Pelodiscus sinensis: one gene and its partner. The protein of the gene in region 1 interacts with the protein of each later gene in a biochemical or structural test. Links are inferred from orthologs where the notes say so. Each region holds a gene or a part of one and is shown on either strand. Other genes may lie near its edges.

What was found.
Region 2: of the proteins of NEDD4L (region 1) and NDFIP2, one has a biochemical effect on the other in vitro, tested with the Homo sapiens proteins (2 studies listed by BioGRID, with this or other methods). The link is inferred for Pelodiscus sinensis from reciprocal best matches to the Homo sapiens genes NEDD4L and NDFIP2.

Annotation. Positions count from the first base shown.
Region 1 is NC_134716.1:110,160,035-110,169,771, reverse strand, and holds the start of NEDD4L (E3 ubiquitin-protein ligase NEDD4-like), read left to right. Parts: upstream 1-5,225; 5' UTR 5,226-7,057; coding exon 7,058-8,227; intron 8,228-9,737. UniProt on the Homo sapiens protein: E3 ubiquitin-protein ligase that mediates the polyubiquitination of lysine and cysteine residues on target proteins and is thereby implicated in the regulation of various signaling pathways including autophagy, innate immunity or DNA repair.
Region 2 is NC_134711.1:264,575,563-264,585,720, reverse strand, and holds the start of NDFIP2 (NEDD4 family-interacting protein 2), read left to right. Parts: upstream 1-5,721; 5' UTR 5,722-5,922; coding exon 5,923-5,949; intron 5,950-10,158. UniProt on the Homo sapiens protein: Activates HECT domain-containing E3 ubiquitin-protein ligases, including ITCH, NEDD4, NEDD4L, SMURF2, WWP1 and WWP2, and consequently modulates the stability of their targets. As a result, may control many cellular processes.

The sequences.
Region 1 (9,737 bases):
GAACTATACTTAATCTAGTGCTTTTCAGTTATTAACTGTAGTTCACATTCTTATCATAAAAACTTCAGATATTTGCAAAATGTGAAGTGGTCTCAAAATACCCCAAATTAAATTTAATGGAATATAAATAGTGAAGGTAGAAAACATCTCTGATGTTCTGGGATCATAAAGAGTTTTCAAGGAGGAGTTACTTATCTTCTGTCCAAATGTAGTTTTTATTGGAATAGATTAGGTAAAATTTCAACAGTTTAAATGTATTCTTTAGAACAGCTGTTTCAGAACAGGGATGGGCAGTGAATATTGTTAAAATGGTCGTATCCATTCAAAATTCATTTTAGATGTAGTCTATTATGCTGATTTGGTAATTTACAACAGAATATTTGTTTATTTAATTTGGGGAGATTGTAAATACTTTAAAATCTCAATTCCACTGAAATAGCTTTTTACACCGTGAAATCTAGTAGATTTTTCTCCCTAAAATAGTCTGTCCAGAGGTACCTATTTTGAGTCCTCTAATATAATACACAAGGAACTTCTTTTGAGTACTGCAGAATCTCTAGGCATCCAGAAATATAATTTATGCTATCATGTGCCGAAAGTGTCCGTCTGCTTTGTACATTGGACAAACGTCTCAGACACTTCGCCCAAGGATCAATGCCCACAAAACAGATATTAGACAGGATCACAAAGAAAAAACAGTTTCTTGCCATTTCAACCAGAAAGGACACTGTCTCAATGACTTAATTACCTGCATCCTGCTGCAGAAGCCTTTTTAAACTGCACTTGAAAGGGAATCCTCTGAACTGTCATTCATGCTGAAATTCCACACTCTACGCGTCGGTCTCAACAAAGACGCTAACTATCTTACCCATTACAAAGATAGCTTCCCCAATTATCACCTCTTAATACCATTAGCTCACAGACATTTACCTTCCTCCCTTTACCCCCCGCATCCCCCTCCTGTTCTGAAATTTGATTTGTCCTTTTCATATGTGTTCATTTTTTTAATTGTATCCTTTGGTATATATGGTTGTGACTATTTTCTTCCACTATTTGATCTGAGGAAGTGGGTCTGGCCCACGAAAGCTCATCATCTAATAAACCATCTTGTTAGTCTTTAAAGTGCTACATAGTTCTGTATTTTGTTTCAGCTACACCAGACTAACACGGCTACATTTCTATCACTAGGAATTGTCTTGGCACTAAACTCAGTATGACGGGCCCCAGCTTTTTCCATTTCAGTCACAACAAGATGCAATGTGTGCAAGCTTTTCATTGGTAGAACATTCATCTGGTCATGTTACATGTAAACACATTAAGCTTGGCATTCTTATGTAGATGGTTAGTGATTCTTAGGATACCCTGTTAAAGATTCCAGAAAAAAAGTCTTAGAAACAAGCGGCACACTAAAATGTTTGGGCATTGTTAGAACCACATGTTACCAGTTGTATGGTTAGTATTTATTCCCAGTTAACCTACTTTGCTAAATGTAATGTTGAGTACACATCAGTAACTTACCAAATGGTTCTAGTTACCAAACACCCAACGCCTAGGAAATACTGTGTTTAAAAATTAACTTCAAAGGAATCCAAATATCAGGGCACCCAAACAACCTTAACTCTGGAGGGGAAGAAGACATTTTCGGCTCTGTTTTCACTGATTTTTTTTTTTAAAAAAGTGGTTTCTACCACAAGGTAAAGGTAAAGTCAATACTATTCTCCCCTTCACAGCCCTGTGACTTGACCTGACCTAATTTACCTTGTGGTGTCTTGTCTCTGCTATGTATTTACTGCATGCAATCCCTTGGAGGGACAGCACTGAAGTTTTCAACACAAGATAAACTAGGTGAGGTCAGTCGCAGGGTAGTGAGGAAGAGGAGATTGTTGACCTCATCTACTTTGCCTCCGTGTGCAAACTATAATTGCCTAGACTCCACGTAGAGTTTTGCAATCAGACACCTATCACGTCTTAGTTAACTCACCGCCAATAAGACAACAACTTTGTGTCAATATAGGCAAAGCTTTACAGCCGGTCTATGCTACCACTTACGTCAATTTAACCTGTGCCACTCGGGGTATTAAAAAGATCCCGCCCTGTGTGTGATGTAAGTTTAAGTCACCTAAGCACTGTCCAAGTGTTGCTGCTGGCACTGTGTCAGTGGGAGATGTTCTCCCACTGACATAGCTTCCACCTCTCACAGGGGGGGAATATTTATGCTAACCAGAGAGCACTCTCCCAGCAGCATAGTTTCTTCATTGGATGCCCTACAGCTGCATCAGTGCAACACTTCTAGTGTAGACCTGCCCTTAAATAACCTTCATACCTTTCTAGCAGTTCCAGCTCATTAATGTCTATAAACACCAGCATGCTTTCCTTTAGTCAATTTAAACCTTTGTGCAGCTACGTGCTATCCCCAGCAAAATAAGTGCTTTTGGCTCTCTGCTGTTTCAGATATTATTCAGCAATAACTCAGAACTGATTCCACACTGGACAGGTGGAAAACTCCATTTTTATACAGTGTTGAGTTGCAGAGCAGTTTGGAAGGCACAGCTCATGCAATTGAGTGCTCTTCTTTTGGTGTGCATTCAGGATTTGCAGCAAATTGGATATGTGCTACACATTTACCGTATTCATGGAATCTGTTGATATTTTTCATGGTCGCCTTATACTTCTTCCTGGAATGAAGACATAGTCAGACCATGAGAACTCTTGTTACTTAGAACATGTAAACGGAACCCTGCAGTGCTATAAAAACTCATGAAAATCCTACCCAGAAAGACACATACTAGTACTTGTGTGTACTCCTCTACTGGAGGGATCACACTCTTTGTGCTAGTTCAGTTTGGGATTTCCCTCTGTCAATAAACCCACATAAGTGTCTGCCTATTAAGGAATATATTCTCTGTGTTGCCTCAAATAGAGGACTGGGCTTAGCCACCTGTCTTACACTTTCCTGAAAAGTATACGAACCTGGATTAACTACCATAGAAACCTGCCTTTATTCGATGGTGGCCTTGTTGCCTCCTTGACATTCATTGTTTTGAGGGGATTCATGTAATTCAGCATCTGTCTGTGGAAACAATATCCTGAAGGTGTACTCATTTCTCAGTATGATTTCTCATCTCATCCACAGTGTTTCTCAAGTGTCATTTGTAAAATGGGTAGGAACAGTGGCAGACTGGGTGTAGGCAGAGGGTGAAAAATAGAGGTGCTGCATAATTCTAAGTAGTATGTTTAGAATCAATAAAAAGGAGACTATTCTTTTAAAAATTCTAGTTCCTGTATCACACTTCAGCTCTGAAATTTCAATACCAAGAAAGACCCTATAACCCAGCAGTCTGACACCTTGGTCACCAGTAGAGATGTAAAATCCTATTTAATTGGTTAACCTGGTTAAACATATTGTTTAACTGGTTAACCAAATTAAGAGGGGGTGGCAGGGCAGCTCCTGTCTAGCTGGAGTGCCCACCATGCCTGCTGCTGGGTTGGAGCAGCCCTCACCTCACCCTCCCCACTGCAGGCTCCTCTGGAAATCACATGTCAGGCTGGAGCAGCCCCTGGGTGAAGGCTACCTGCTGTGGACAGAGGCAGCCCCTGTCTGCTGTGGGCTTGCCATTGTGGGGCTAGAGCAACTCCCTGTCTGTGGCAGGCAGGAAGCTGCTCCAGCCCCCTCTGATTAACTAGTTTAACATTCACATGCTACTCACCAAGAGCCATCAACCACAGATTCTGATTCTGTCAGGTTGGGTCTCTTGGTGAGTGACCTCCATAAAACATCTTTCTGTTGGGAGCTTTCTCAAGGAACAGGGATGTAGAATAAGAGGTGCTCTATTAATAACTAAGTAAAAACATAGTATTGAAAACCAGAATATTTCTAGTTATAGATTTAGAATTTTAAATGGGTATTTACACAGTAGGTAAAGTTAAGTTATATTCAAGGCCTGTCAACCCGCATTTAGCAAACTACTGTACCCATCAATGGTTTATGTTGTGAAGGAAATGAGCATGAAGTAACACTTTTTTTTTTTTTATAGGTAAACCCAACTAATCATAGACTCCTGTTTGAAGTGTTTGATGAAAACAGATTGGTGAGTGTACTACTCTAGTCCCAGTTGTGTGTATTTTACTAATCACTCAACTAAACTTGGAAGTAACATAGCTCCTGAATCTTAGTTTTTGGAAAATTGGTATACCTTAAATAAAACGTATTTTTTGTTTCAGTGGTTTAAATATGTAAAATAAGTAAGGTAAAGTGAGGTATATAAAGCAGGAAACGTAGGTATTTTACAAGCTGAATATTTATAGCACTCCTCTTGAAACAAAATTATGCAGCTGAGATATTTAGGGAAGGGATACTGTAATTACTGCTTTATTTGTTATTTTTGTACGGTTAACTAGATGGCTAGGCAAAAATATGGTTTGATTTTAGGTATAGTTGATGTAAGGCATCAATGTAATTGTAATTTATGAAAGTAGTTTGAAGAAAGTTTTTAAAAGCAGTATTAATGGAATAGTGACCCACTAGCACTATATTTATTAACAGTATTATAACAAGATGTGGTGCTATATCACAAAATATTTGATTCTTTTAGATTATATAAAGTGCAGTATGTGTCTACCAAACTTGCTTAATATACTGGGACAAAATATGCCATATATATATATGATAGATTGACTATCTTTTTGTCAACTTTCTTTTCTTTCAGTTCCATCAAAGCAAATATTTATGTAATGCAAGGAAAAAGATAGAAACTTTTTTAGGTAACCTTTTTTCAGGGGGGAGAATATAGAGGTTCTCTCATCTAATGATGTGAGGAAATAGATTATTCCATTTCAACCCCCATTAAATGCCTCTAAGCACACTGATCATTTCAGTGCCTTCATATGGATTTATTATTCTATTTCAGAATTACAGGCCTCCACTTGTAGGGAATCTTGAATAACTCTTTCTAGTTTTAAGTTTCTTTTCCTCTTTTCAGGCCAGCTGGCAGAGTGGGACGTCAAAAAATTTGAATAAGTTATATGTGAACCAGCAGAGGGTAGTAGTGTGCACAAGCAAGCTAGTATGTGACAATACAGTGGTGGTTGTTAAAAAGACATTTTTCAACCATTACCACACAATGACATCTGAGAAGTGGTAATTGCCTTTATATCTCATACTAACGTGTAGATTGAGGGAGTATTGAACTGAGTACTCTAAGACTATTTTCTGTAGCATGACTATATTTTTAGGGGCCAAAACAGTTAATTTGTGTGTCTTTTTTTTAATTCCAAGCATAAATACAAATGTAAGCTTACAATTACTAAGATTTGCCCCCAGAATAATTTCTTACGAGTTCATCTTGTTCCTAAACCATCAGTGAGTTGTTAGATTGCAGTAGGTTTGTCACACTAGACTAGACTGTGGTTGCAAGTTGCGTATTTAGTAAAAAAGGGTACTTGTTTATTTAAATAGCCCAGAACCATGCTGTTTTTTGAAAAGTGTATTAAAATAATACTAACACCTGTGCTTGCATGAAGCAATCTACAGTGCTGTTACTGTAGCAAATACCCATGTTTTTCTTGTCGTTGGCTCATAGTCCAGTTAAAACAATAGAGGATTGTACTGGCCCTTGGCAGTTTTATTGTTTAAATCAGCTTTTATTTCTCTTGTACTTGGTTGTTTTTTGTATTTGAAAACAAGCTATTGTAAAACAGTGGTTTTAGGTATCTAGCAGTAGTATTGACCCAACACGTACAAGGGTAGAACTGTTGAAAAAACTGGGGTTTTTTTAACCGTTCATAGGAGCCAAGTTGCCACTCTTTTAATTGAGGTTATTTCAATTGTGTCTCTTCTGTAGATAAACTTTTTGTTTAAACAGATTTTGTTTCTGATTCATGCAAAAATCTTCTAGAACTTCAGTGCACCTCAGTTATGACAACCCCTTTTTAAAGGTTGAGATTCTGCATTGTGGCAGGGCTGAATCGGGATGTTTATTTAAATTTTTGGTTGTATCCCATATGTTCTTCTTTTAAGCTCTTTTGGCTCTTTGCAAGCATAGCTATCCTCCGTGCTGGCAATCAGACTTGTGGTAATATTGCAGACTCTCTCATTGGAAGGCTGCCAACACTGGGCAGCATTTCTGTATGGCACTTAAGTAAAATAATTCCAAAATGATATGCACACCCTTCTTCAGTTTTCGTTCGTCTTTGCTTCCTGATAAAACTGGGGGAAAAAAACAACCATCCTGTCTCTTGCCATCTTGTTCATTTCTGTTGCTGTCATTGTGTGAGAAATAGTTGGCATATGTAAGAATTCTTTGTTCAAATTTCTGTATGCAGTATAAATAGGTTATGCTGCATTTATAGTGATAAGGTAAAAGTTATGGATTTTTCTGTAGTGAATAATTTGTTACTTAATCTTTTAAAGAACCAGAAAAAAAACCCTAGAGCATAACCAGGGACTAATATTTATTTGTGTTCTACCATGGTAGCCTAATGTTGAAGCATCAAAACAGAGGAAGCCTGAATCTGTCATCTCAAGCCAGCTCACTTCTTCTCAATCTGCATTTGTGAAGCTGACTTGAACTATCAACACTTAAAGTGCTTTTGTTGCAGTGAAGTTTTTGTACGAAAGTGCCCTGTGAATGTGATGTGGCTGAGATTTATAGCAGTGCCGAGTGTGCTTGCTGCCTTAGTCAGCTGTGAGAGCTCTCCCGCGGGGGCAGCTCTTTTCTGATGGAAAAGGAGCAGCTGTGAAGGTGCTGTTTCAGGCTCTTACTGGTATTTAAAAAAAAAAAAAAAAACTAGCTTGCAGTGGAGAGGGGGAACCAAGTCATGTGATTTCAACCATCCTACCCTATGTCACTGTGTGTAGGAGTGCTGATTGCTCTTATCCAATCATGCCTGGAATGCTGCTTGCCACTTGGGCTATTTCTGCTATCTGTCGCTATCAGTGCTGCAGTACTAACAGTTTGGCAGATGGGACACTTTTTCTTGGAGTTTGTCTTTGTTTTCTAACTTCTGGCAGTGCCTGAATTGTTGCTGTTCTCCCTCTCTTTCTTCTCTCTGTTAAACCATGGCCCATCGGCTGCGGTTTCATTTTGGCTCTGGACGAAGCAACACAGCCCCTGAATCTGAGATCCTAGACCGAGAGAGAGAAGATGACTTTTTCATGGCATTCCACACTTTGCCAAGAAGAAACAGTCCCCATCCTTTCTCCCGACATGGAGCGGATTATGGTGGCGGTGATTTGCAAGGAGTGGGCTCCTTGAAAAGAAGTACATCCATGTTTATTCCTCAGCTTCTGAACAATATTGATGTGCGTCCAACAAGGAGCTCCTCTATGCAGATCTCTCTTCAGCGCAAAGCTGTGAACGGCTGTGCTGATGAGTGCGGAGCCCCAGAGTCTCCTGAGGAGATGCTGCCATGTAAATTCACAGACTCCAGGGAGCATTACACATGCCCAGTTGACAGCCCTTCTTCTTCTCCAAGCAGTCCACAAGGAACCCCAGAGAATTCTCCACCCAGGATGCCTGAAGAGATTCAGGAACAGCTTAATGGAGCTGTTTCCTGTAACCACAGAATATTTTGTACAGTTCCTTCCAATAACTGGAATGATGGGGCAACGACTGCCCTAGAAGACGAAGCAAGCGAAGCAGCTTCAGGGTTAAATCTAAGTGGCGTAAGAATTCAACATCGCGCTTCATGCACAGACATGCGTCAGGTTACGCTATTGCCCTTTGGTTCTGAGGATCAGAATAACTCCCCAGCCTCTGAACCCAGGCGCTGGTCCTTGCAGCACCTGCCAGATGTGTCAGCAAATTCAGGGAAAAAGTTATTTGTTTTCCAGTTGCAGCAATCGCAGGCAAGTGGTACAGGTACAGGAAGTGACTATAATTTTGGTTTTACTGGAACAAAAGGGAATAGATTGGTCAGATATCCTCGTATACGGCTGGAAAGGAGTACTTCCTACCCTGTACAGCCACGACCAGAACGAATTAGCCCAGTAGAAGACAGAATGAATTCAGAACTGCATGGAAATAGCAGAAATGGGTCAGAAATATCTAGAAGTAATTCAGTAGAAAGGATTCCTCAAGGGCAGGGATGCTTGTTTAAAATCAGACCAGATCAAAACACAAGGCAGCAACACTTCAGAATTCTTGTAACCCGTGGTACTGAAGAACAAAATCAAATGACTGATGAAGAGAGCCCTGATATCCCTGGGCCTACAGCCGCCAGTGCCACGGTAAGTAACATGCTGAAAATACTTCCCTTTGTGTTCTAATAAAATATAAATGGCCACACAGAAAACTTTTTCCAATTTTAGGTCACTGAAGAATTTCACTCATTAATACTGGTGAGATCTACGTTTCTCTGGAACAATCTGTAAAGCATCCCTAACTGTAACCTAAAATAGTTTTGCTTCCAGTTATGATTACATTCAGCTCAATGTTTTCTTGGAGTTGTAATGTATCACATGTTGCTTAACTCAAAGTTACGTCAGCTAAAGCGTTTTTAAAAATTGGAAAGCCTAAGTGTCACTCTTAGCAAACTGATAAAGAAATAAAAGCAAAATCTTTACTGTACAGAGATTACATTTTTGACACTAACTTTTCATATTTTAAAATATATTTAAAAGCAAATTATCCTAGTTCAGGACTTTGTGGGGACAGAAAATAGTAAAGAACAAAGTGGTGAGAATTGTTTCATTTCAAAGAACACTTGTGCTCTTGAATGTCTTCAAAACTAAGAACTTTTCACATTGCCTTTTTAGTGTCATATGGAATATGATCAAATTACTGTAAATGAAGTTCAGGCATAATTTATTACAATATCCTGTAATATAGCTTTGATATGAAATATGATGTAAAATCTTATAAAGCCTATTTCTTCTGTTATATGAGAGAGATGAAGTTCTGTGATGTTTTTGATACAGACTTTATAGGCTCATGCATGGGTAAAATTTATGGGGGCATGCAGAGTCATTTGCTTGAATTGCTTTGCAGTGCAATTTAACACTGCCCACTTGAGTTTCTAAGCTCAGTGATGCTGTATATAGAATAGTAAGCACCCTATCTCCAGCTGTGAAAACAGACTCACAGGATCAGCTTTTAGCCTTTATTGCTTGTGTGTATTCTCATTCTCTCGTGCTCTCTTTCAGTGAAATGTAGTACAGAAAGACAGCTGCTAACTACAGCAAGACCATATGATGACTCTGCAGCTTTCATAGCAAAAACTAACAGTATGAACGTTATTCCAAGATAACTAACTTTCTTAGCACTTAACACAAGAACATGAACTGCTAGCCTTCACGGCCTCTGGAGAAAACCTTTTACTTTACTGCTATCCACCATATCATCATACCTTTTCCATATATATGTTTCAATATATTTTTGTTAGCAGCCTGTGGATATTTTACATTCATAGTATTCCTGCTGAAAACATCTCTAGTTAGTCTTTTGTTTGGGTTTCACTGTCACACTCAGCAGTATGTTAAAAGTTTTGTTCTTTCACACAAACATTTTTGTGGCTTCTCTTTTTTTTCCAGATGTTTCTATCTTGTTTACATTAGTGTTTTGCCTGAAGTGTAAACTTTTTATCTGGAAACAGATTTTCCTGAAGACTAGAGTAAGTCTGAATCCTGGCTTTAGGAGAAAGGGGACAAGCTGTAAAGTTTTACGTTTTCCAATTTTGGGGCTATTCACATCCAGGGTTTTGATTGAGGCCCACCCCTTCTCATCTACATGTACAGTTTA
Region 2 (10,158 bases), on another chromosome or scaffold:
TGAGGTTTACCTCTGTCGGAAAAATCCCTCCGTTCTTTTGACTTTCTGTCAAAAGAACTCAATGGCAGTGTGGATGCAAGTATTATTTTCCTGGAAAAACAGCCGTTTTTCCGGAAAAACGCTGCTGTGTAGATGCACCAAGAGAGGGGATGGTGAGGGAAAGGAAAGGAGGAAAAAAACGGGAAAAGAATAGTCAGAGTGTCCACCCTAAATGAAGTTAATAAGAGTGGGTTCTAAATACCCATCATTTGGCTTTTTATGTCATTAGGATGTAGAATGTAGGGGGTAATCCAGTTAAGGTCTTTGTTTAAAGCTCTATTGTAGGTATCAAACTTGCAAATGAAATTAAGCTCTGCTGCTTCCCTTTCAAGCTTGTTTTTGAAATTGGCTTGTAATAATATGGAAACTTTGAGATCCATTAATGAGTGCCTGGGTATGTTAAAATGTTCTGCAATAGGTTTCTGTGTGTTACTTTTATGAATATCTGATTTGTGTTCATTAATCCTTCATTGTAGAGACTGTCCAGTTTGGCCAGTATATGGTACATGGCACAGGGGCATTGATGGCATATATCACACTGGTGGATGTGCAGTTATATGAGCCTTTGATGTGGTGATTTATGTGGTTAGGTCCTGTAATGTCACTTTTTTATAGATGTGTGGACAGAGTTGGCTCTGGAATTGATTACAGGGATGGGTTACTGGATGAATATGATGGAGGTGTGCTGTGTGGTTGCTGGAAAGAATTTGTTTGAGGTTAGGGGGTTGTCTGTAGGTGAGGATTGGCCGGTCTCCCAAGGCATGTGAGAGTGAGGGGTCATTTGCCAGGATAGGTTGTAGATGGTTGATAATGAGTGACCCGCCAAGTTTAAAATCAGGTATCTTCCAGCCCAGATAAGAAGGTAGTTTAAGTTTGGTTAAGGAAATATATGCATGATGTCAAAAAAGGCTCTTTTACTAACAAGTACGAGAAAGGGCTAGAATACAAGTGATAATCATGGTGAGCATATTTTCTGAACCAAAAATGGGAACACTTGATATAAGGGCCCTACCATGAATCAAACATTAGTCACGCCACCTGACCTTTAAGGCCCTGCCTGCCTGCCTGAGGCAGTCCCGCCCCTGGGGGTAGTACAGCTGGGGTCAAGATGGACACATGACCAGAAGCAAAAGGTGTCATGAGACCTCTCAAGAACTCCTCTCACCACCCCTCTACCAATTGGGATGGGTTTGGGCCTCATAGGAGGTGCTGGTGTGCTGTGGGGAGGTGATGTGGTGTGGTGTGTGTAGGGGCAGGGTGTGTATGACAGTGCTGTGCCTGTGGGCAGTGCATGTGTATACATGTTGGTGGCACTGTGTATCTGGAGAGGGTGTGTGGAAGTGGTGAAGTGTGTAGGGGCATGGTGTGTGGGGTGGTGGATGTGCTGCTGGTGCTGTGACTAGAGAGGAGCTGTGTATAGTGGTGTGTGGAAGTGGCAGTATGGGCAAGATACATGTATGTGGTAGTGTTGTGCACAGGGACAGGATGTGTGAGGAGGCTCTAGTGGCACAACAGGGCCTGAGGGGACTCGGTGTGGCCCTGTGCACTGGGACAAGGGCTATCATGGGGAGCTGGTGCTGGCTCTTGGCTGCGGGGGGGGGGGGGATCTCTGTGCCCCATGAACTGGGCTGGTGCCAGCAGCTTGGAGCAGAAAGCCCAGCTCACTCCCCTGACTTGGCAGTGGCTTCTGGCAAGTGGCCATAGGCAGGAGCTGAGCAATGAGGAGGTGGGGTGGAGGCTGAGCTCATGACACTCTGGAGCACTTGGGGCTGGGCAGGAAGGACACCCACTTACATCGTCTTATGACAAGCTTTTCCCCTCCGCCTTTTCATCACTGCTGATGCACCACTGCCTACTAATCATTCAATTGAAATTGTATTGTTTCATATACAGGCGAGCCCTGACTTACGACTGCCCAACATACGACTCCCCACATTTATGACCGCCTTGCTTTGACTGCTGCCCTCCCCCGGCACAGCCCCCAGCCAGCTCTGGGAGCACCTCGCGCTGCGGACTACAACTCCCAGCAAACAAAGCGGGCCAGTAACAGAACCCCCATTTTTATCATTGCATCTATGGGAAAAAAGGTTTCAACTTACGTCAGTTCTCCAGGAACCAATTAGGTCATGCGTGCAGGGGTTGCCTGTACATTTTGGCTGTGATTTCAAATGGACTCAATTTACAAAGTTGAAAAGTATTTTTCCTAACTATCAGTGCTGCACATTTCAGACCCCCACAGGAGTCATCAAGACAGATGTATTGTCCAAATGCAAGAATATTTCTGTAGAGGACTGATTGGATGACAGTGGCTGAAATGGCACATGGTGAAGAAATTCATTTTTTAATCTCCTAGTTTCCCTTGTTGTGTGTTAGAATAATTAAAATGCAAAACACATTCAAGATCCATTTACTTAAGACCCAGTGAACTCTGAAGTTAATGAGAATGGAGAGCTCATTGCAGATCTGGCCTTTACAGGCTTTAAGGGAAGACTGGCAAAAGCTTTTTGAAATTATTTTGCTTCATCACTCCCAATGGATAGATAGTAGTTACTTAAGTTTACAGTGTTTGTCAAAAATTGTGCACATTTAAACTCAATTAGTTTTAAACAATACTGTTTTAGGTTCAGCCTGTTTTGAGATTTGTTATATGTAAGTTGCTCATATTTAAAATCTCATCATAGGTCTGTGACCAGAACAGGTGGTTTTTGCTTGGCAGCTGTAATGAGCAAGCTTTCCCCCTGGCCTTGCACAAATGCAACTTTTTAGATCATTTAATTTTAACTAAAGTGCTTGGCTACGTCTACACTGGCATGATTTTCCGGAAATGCTTTTAACGGAAGTTTTCCGTTAAAAGCATTTCCGGAAAAGCGCGTCTATATTGGCACGGATGCTTTTCCGCAAAAGCACTTTTTGCGGAAAAGCGTCCGTGGCCAATCTAGATGCGCTTTTCCGCAAAAAAGCCCCGATTGCCATTTTCGCGATCGGGGCTTTTTTGCAGAAAACAAATCTCAGCTGTCTACACTGGCCTTTTTGCGCAGGACTTTTGCCCGAACGGGAGCAGCATAGTATTTCCGCAAAAAGCACTGATTTCTTACAGTAGGAAGTCAGTGCTTTTGTGGAAATTCAAGCAGCCAGTGTAGACAGCTGGCAAGTTTTTCCGGAAAAGTGACTGATTTTCCGGAAAAACTGGCCAGTCTAGACACAGCCCTTATGTATCTGTTCTGTGCTATCTTTTAAAATGAGTAGATTTCAGTATAGGAAGATATGCAGCCTTTTCTTCCATTATAAAGAAACATTTTGTGATAATTGAGAAAGGAACGTAAGGATTCATTAGTTTTAAGGCAAAATAACTTTAGCTTTAAAGTGGTCCCCCTCTCCCCTGCCCCCCTAGATCTACAGCAGTGTTTCTAAAATCTCTGCCTTCTTCCAAGGCAGGCACTGGTCACTGGTACAGACAGGTGTGACCCTCAGGGCGGCTTTGCCAAGCCCCCAGCTGTTCGCTCTGAGTGCTGCAATTCTAGCAGGGGGCCAGGAGATCGCGAGGCTCTGTGCTCGGGACACTTAGATTCAGGCCATCGGAGCAGCGGTGGGGGCCTTTGGCACCTCCCCCTGCCAGGGCCAGGATTCTCTGCCAGGCAAAACAAAGCTTTGGAAGGCAGAAGCAGGAAGTTCTGAGGTTCCCGCCCTCCAACTTCCTCTGCGACACCACTTCCCAGCCTTGCTCCTCAGCAGCCCCGACCCAGAGCCCCCCAGACTCAAAGGCAACTAACATTGTGCTCAGTCTGTCCCGTATGGACACTCCTAGTGACTGCCCCTGCTGTGAGGCTTTGCTCCTGGTTCCTGTGTGAATGGTTCACACAGGAATTGTCTCAGGTGAGGGTTTCTGCCACTCCCTGAGACAGGTTTCATGTGCAGCAAAGTCCTGGGGATGAAGGCAGGTTAGTTCGTGCCCCTTTGCTTTGGGAAAACACCCCACCCCACGCAATGCTTCTCGGCTATTCATACTGAGCCTCTGCAGGAGCAGAGCTGGGAGTTGGGTAGCACCAGGCCTGAGCACAGCGGCTACGTCTACACTGGCCCCTTTTCCGGAAGGGGCATGTAAATTTCAGCAGTCGTCGTAGGGAAATCCGCGGGGGATTTAAATATCCCCCGCGGCATTTAAATAAAAATGTCCGCCGCTTTTTTCTGTCTTTTAAAAAAGCCGGAAAAGAGCGTCTAGACAGGCCCCGATCCTCCGGAAAAAGTGCCCTTAAGTAAGAATAAGAGCCTCCGGAAAAGGGCACTTTTTCCGGAGGATCGGGGCCAGTCTAGACGCTCTTTTCCGGCTTTTTTAAAAGCCGGAAAAAAGCGGCGGACATTTTTATTTAAATGCCGCGGGGGATATTTAAATCCCCCGCGGATTTCCCTACGACGACTGCTGAAATTTACATGCCCCTTCCGGAAAAGGGGCCAGTGTAGATGTAGCCAGCATGTCCCTGCATTTACGTTGCCCCATCTCTTGGGAAGGGAGGGAAGAGCTGTGCAGAGGAAGCTCCTATTGGCCAGATTCTGCACAGTGCTCTCCCTCCCCCCAGAAGCTTTCCCCTTTGCTCCCATGCCATGGGCTAGATTCTGACCCATGGGAACAAAGGGAAAAGCCTCCAGGGAGTGCTGGGAAGCTGTCTAGGGGGTGGAGTAAAGGAAATGGCAGCATGCACAAGCTGCATCTAGCAGGGAACTTGGGGGCTTTCTTTCCCATGCACTGATTTCCAGATTTCACTGTTGTAGAGAGACACTGGGCTAGGAGTTTTAAAATGGGAATTGTCCTGGAAAAACTGGGACATATGGTTTGCATAGGCAAGAAGCCACAAAATGAATTTTGGAGGATTTCTGGTCAAAGAATAACTAATTATATCAGAGGAAGTTTATAAAAAGGCCTCTGACTGAAAGGGGTGAATGCAGTTGGTTTTTCAATTAAAAAAAAAACACCAAATCTTTCCTAAAAGGAGTCGTCATGGATCTTTTCACCCCACAGGCTAGTATTATTTTCTATGTAAACCTTTGGCTGCAACAAAAAACAGGAAAAAATAAGAAGGTTGTAAATCCTATCTGGATTAAGACTGGAAGTTAGGATGAACGGTCTCAAATTGTTTTTAGCTGAAGTCAGTGATAGCAATGGCATCACCTGTTTGTTAAAAGGTATAAAAAGGGTTCATTGCTAAATATATTGGAGCAGACCAATGTGCGTGTGAGTACCACTGGGTTCAGCCATTTGTGAGTACCTTTAAGTACTCATGAACGCTTTTTTTCATGAACGTTTTGTTACTGTTTGTAAATTGCTTATGCGTGAGGCCTGAAACCTGTTTAGAGCCAATGCATATATATGTGCAAGAGCAAGCTAATCTGCATAAGAGGTAAAAGGCCGGGAGTGGGTGCGGGGGCAGCGGAGTACAGGGCGCGTAAGCGCTGCGGCGATTGGTATCCGCGCTGCGGCGCAGAGCGGGGTGCCGGGAGGCTCAAGCAGCGGGGCAGGGCGGGGGGGCAGGACACACGCCAGTCACCTGGGGGGCGGGGGGAGAGCTGCAGGCAGGGGCCGGGCGGTGGTGATGCGTGTACTCGCTTCCCCTCCCCCGCCTCTTATTACGTGCGTCACGGGGAGGGGGCGGCGCCTTAGTGCCCCTCGGCCGCGGGGGGAGCGGCTGTCGCGCGGCGCCCGCCCCCGGAAGGCGGGTCGGAACCCAGGCCGCATCCGGAGGGGGAGGGGCGGTGGGCGGAGGAGGAAGGTAGGGCCCGGCCGCTGCGGCAGGGACCCAGGGCGGCAGCCGCGGAGGGATCGCGAGCAACGAGCGGGTGCGGAGGAGTCGGTGGTTGGGCCGCGCCTGTGTGTGTCCGCGGGCGGCCGGGATGGAGCCCGCCAGCCGTTACCAAGTGGTGAGTGACTGGTCCGTCTCCTTCCGCCGCGCGGCCCGCGACCCCCGTTGCGGCCCGGGCGGCTCTGCGGCCACCGGCCGGAGCCTGCCTGCCTTCCCGGCTGTGCAGAGACGTGGGGCCCGCCGCCGTGGGGACTGTGCACAGCGAGCCTGTCACGGAGCAGCCGGCCTGGGTCGCGGTGTCGCCGCCGGGAGAGGCGGGGAGGGGTCGCTGGGCCGGGGTCGGGGCGGTGAGTGCCCAGCTCCCGCCAGCCTCGCGCATTTGGGGGCCTCAGCGAAATGGCCCCGCAGCGCTTAACCTTGATCCCGTATCCGTGCCCCGGCCGCCCGCCGAGGGGCTGGCACTCGCCATCGCCCCGCTGGACTCGGCCACTCTCCCCCTGGCTGCCGGGGCGGGGGGTGACTAGTGCAGGTTAACTCGCAGGCCCACGGCTGCAGTCGACAGAGCTTTTATCCAAAGGGGAAGGAATCTCAAATTAACGACATTGTTATGTCTGCCCCACCCACCTTGAGAACATGGAAGGGAAGCGACGAGTGACGGGGTAATTTCCCCAGTTCCTTCCTATGTGGGCTGGCCTGAGGTGGTGCATTTTTTTTTCTTAAACGCTCTTCTGAGTAATCTGTGGTTCTCTGGTTTGGGGATGTAACATGGGGTGTAATCTCTCCTTGGGAGACCCATTCTCCAGTCTTTCAGAGAATCCCCTTCATTAACTTCTAGGCGTAATGTTCCTTTCCCACCGTGTGGCTACTTCCTTTCCCAAAGCCAGAATCACAGATGACAACCCTTCAGTCATGAATTGTGTTGTCTTTCTAGTCACAGTACCTATATTTAACAGCACATAAATTACAGTTGTGAAATGGAGGCTCAGCAATAATCACAAGACTGACTTAGAGGAAGTTTTAACCTTATTGCCCTTATCCATAGTCTTGTGTTTCGTGGCTTTTAATCATATTTTTAAAGGACCATAATGTTTTAAAAGGTTAATTTGTGTGACCAGTCATAATTCAAATTAATAAAATGTAATTTTATATTCAAGGTTTCAAACTCAGAAGTAAATAATGAAAACAAGTCAGTTACACATACTTTTAGTCCATTTCCTCATCTTTCTGGAGCACAAGACCTAACCTGTTTGAATGTAAACATTTCTTGTGTTTATGTAATGGAAAATAATTACAAATATTTGTTTAGGTATTTTTTAGGACTGCATCAAGGTTGTTTGTTCAAAACTTACAAAGTGATAGTTAACTCTTCCTTTGATGGTAGCTGTGCCTTTCATGTTTTACTTGGGTGCTTACTATAGGGCTGTGGTCACCAACCCGTCAATTGCGATCTACTGGTCAATCCAGGGGGCCCAACTAATCGATTGTGAGGCTTTTTGGGGGGGGCTCTCACGGCCCCCACCCCCCAAGATGAATGTTGTGCTGTTGCTATCTCCAGGAACAACGGAGGTAGCACGGACTTCCAGCGGGGTGGGGAGAGTTGAAGTGTGCGGACTGCTCTTTCTCTCCCCCCCCCCCCCCCCCCCAACAACCGGCACCTAAAACCGGAACCTAAAATGCCGGTCCATTGCACGCTGGGGACTTTGTTCCCCTGCTGCCTTCCTGCACATGGGGAAGGGGTTGGGTGTCTTGGACTGTGCCGGTTCTGGCTGCTCAGGCAGCGCTTACTGCCACGCGGAGGGGAGGAGTAAGGCGCAAGCTTCGTGAGAGGTTGCAGTCTGGGACTCCCCCCTCCTCTGCAGGCAGGCAGCAGGAGAATAAAATCCCCAGCATGCTGGCTCCAGCTGCTCAGGCAGCATGTGCTCCCCAAGCAGCTGGAACAGGCGTGCTGGGGATTTTATTCCTCTGCTTCCTGCCTGGGGGGGGGGGGGGGGGGGAAACAGGCTCGGAATGGGGAGTCCCAGATCACACCAGCCCCAACCACTTGGGACGCTCATGTTGCCTGAGCAGCCAGAGCTGGCGCAGTCCCAGACCCCCTGCTGCCTTCCCGCACGCGCGGAAGGGGTTGGGTAACAGTCCCCAGCGCGCGATGGACTGGCATTTTAGGTTGGGCCTGGTGCGGTCTGGGACTCTTTCTTCTCGCCCCCCTCCCCTCTGCCCTCGCCCTCCCCCTCCCCTTGATGGAGTTTGTGCTGTGATTGGCAGGTGGAAACTGTTGGCTTCTAATTAAAGTTTGAATTCTAGAAGCCTCTGCTGATTGGCTGAGCCTTGGTAGGGGGAGGGGCTTTATAAGGCAGTGGGCAAGTGACCAAGGAGCTTGCGAACAAGTGATTGCTAACAGGGAGTTTTGAGAGGGAGATTGGAAGGGGAGAGGGAAGGGTGGGAGGTTCTCTTGCCTTTCTTTTTAAATCCATTTTCCAGGACAGCAGCGATAGTTGGTGATGGGTCTGCGGTTGTTACCTGCACAGCGTGTGCCATGTTTGTCTTACTCCCGGAAGAAAGAACGGATTTCATCTACACCAAGTGCAAGCTGGTCGACACTTTGGAAGAAAAAATTAGAGGACTGGAGGCCCAAGTGTCGACCCTACGCTTGATCAGAGAGGGTGAAGACTTCCTCGATAGAAAGCAGCAGTTAATCCTTCAAGCACGGCAGGCAGAAGAGCCAGAGAGGGCAGTACGTGACCAAGAAGAGAACTGGCAGCATGTAACTTCTAGAAGGGGAAAAAGGCCAGCACGGGAATCCCCCGATGCTATAGAGGTAAGCAATCGCTTTCAAGCTCTCTCCGCAGGCTCTGAAGTGCTGAAAGCTCTGGAAGGGACCTCACAAGGAAGAAACCAGAAGGGAACACCATCTACTGGAAGGCATGGGATGCGTAGTCCTACGGATGGAGGTTCCACGGCCACCACGCCCAAAAGGAAACGACGGGTGGTGGTGGTCGAGGACTCCCTCCCAAGAGGGACTGAGCCATCCCTCTGCCGTCCGGACCTGGAATCTCGAGAGGCGTGCTACTTACCGGGAGCTCGCATTCAGGATGTCACTGAGAGGTTTACCAAGCTGATCAAACCTTCGGATCGCTACCCCTTCCTGCTTCTCCACCTGGGAACTAATGATACAGCCAAGAATGATCTTGAGCGTGTTACTGCGGATTATGTAGCGCTAGGAAGAAGGATCCAAGAATTTGGAGCGCAAGTGGTATTCTCCTCCATCCTCCCTGTTGAAGGGAAAGGACTGGGCAGGGATCGTCTAATTGAGGACTTAAATGCGTGGTTGCGCAGATGGTGTCGCAGAGAGGGCTTTGGTTTCTTCGACCATGGGACTCTGTTCCGGGTGCAAGGATTGTTAGGAAGAGATGGGATCCATCTAAGGAAGAGAGGAAGGAGCATCTTCGCGGGCAGGCTTGCAAACCTAGTGAGGAGGGCTTTAAAGTAGGTTCGTCGGGGGACGGTGACCAAAACCCTGAGGGGAGTGGGAAAGTCGGATACCGGGAAGAAATGCAGAGAGGAAGGGGCAAGAAAGGAGGACCCATGTTATGAATGGAGAAGATAGGATAATCAACTGGTTACCTGAAGTGTTTGTACACTAATGCGACAAGCCTGGGCAACAAACAGGAAGAACTGGAGGCCCTGGCCCAGACCAAGAAATATGATTTAATTGGGATAACAGAGACTTGGTGGGATGACTCGCATGACTGGAGCGCTGTCATGGAAGGGTATAGACTGTTCAGGAACAACAGGCAGGGGAGAAAAGGAGGAGGAGTTGCACTATATGTAAGAGAGCACTACGATTGCTCTGAACTCCAGAATAAAGAGGGAGAAAAACCTGTTGAGAGTCTATGGGTTAAGTTTAAAGGAGCAAACAACAGCATTGATGTTGTGGTTGGTGTTTGCTACAGGCCACGGAATCAGGTGGATGAGGTAGATGAGGCTTTCTTTGGACAACTGAGCGAAGCTTCCAGATCGCAGGCCCTGGTTCTCGTGGGGGACTTTAATCACCCTGACATCTGCTGGGAAACCTATACGGCAGTACACAGGCAATCCAGGAAGTTTTTGGAGAATGTTGGGGATAACTTCTTGACACAGGTGCTGAAGGATCCGATCAGGGGCCGTGCGCAGCTTGACCTTCTGCTCACAAACAGGGAGGAACTAATAGGGGAAGTGGAGGTGGGTGACAACCTGGGAAGCAGTGATCATGAGATGGTAGATTTCAGGATCCTGACGAAAGGAAGAAAAGGGAGTAGTAAAATACACACCTTGGACGTCAAAAAAGCAG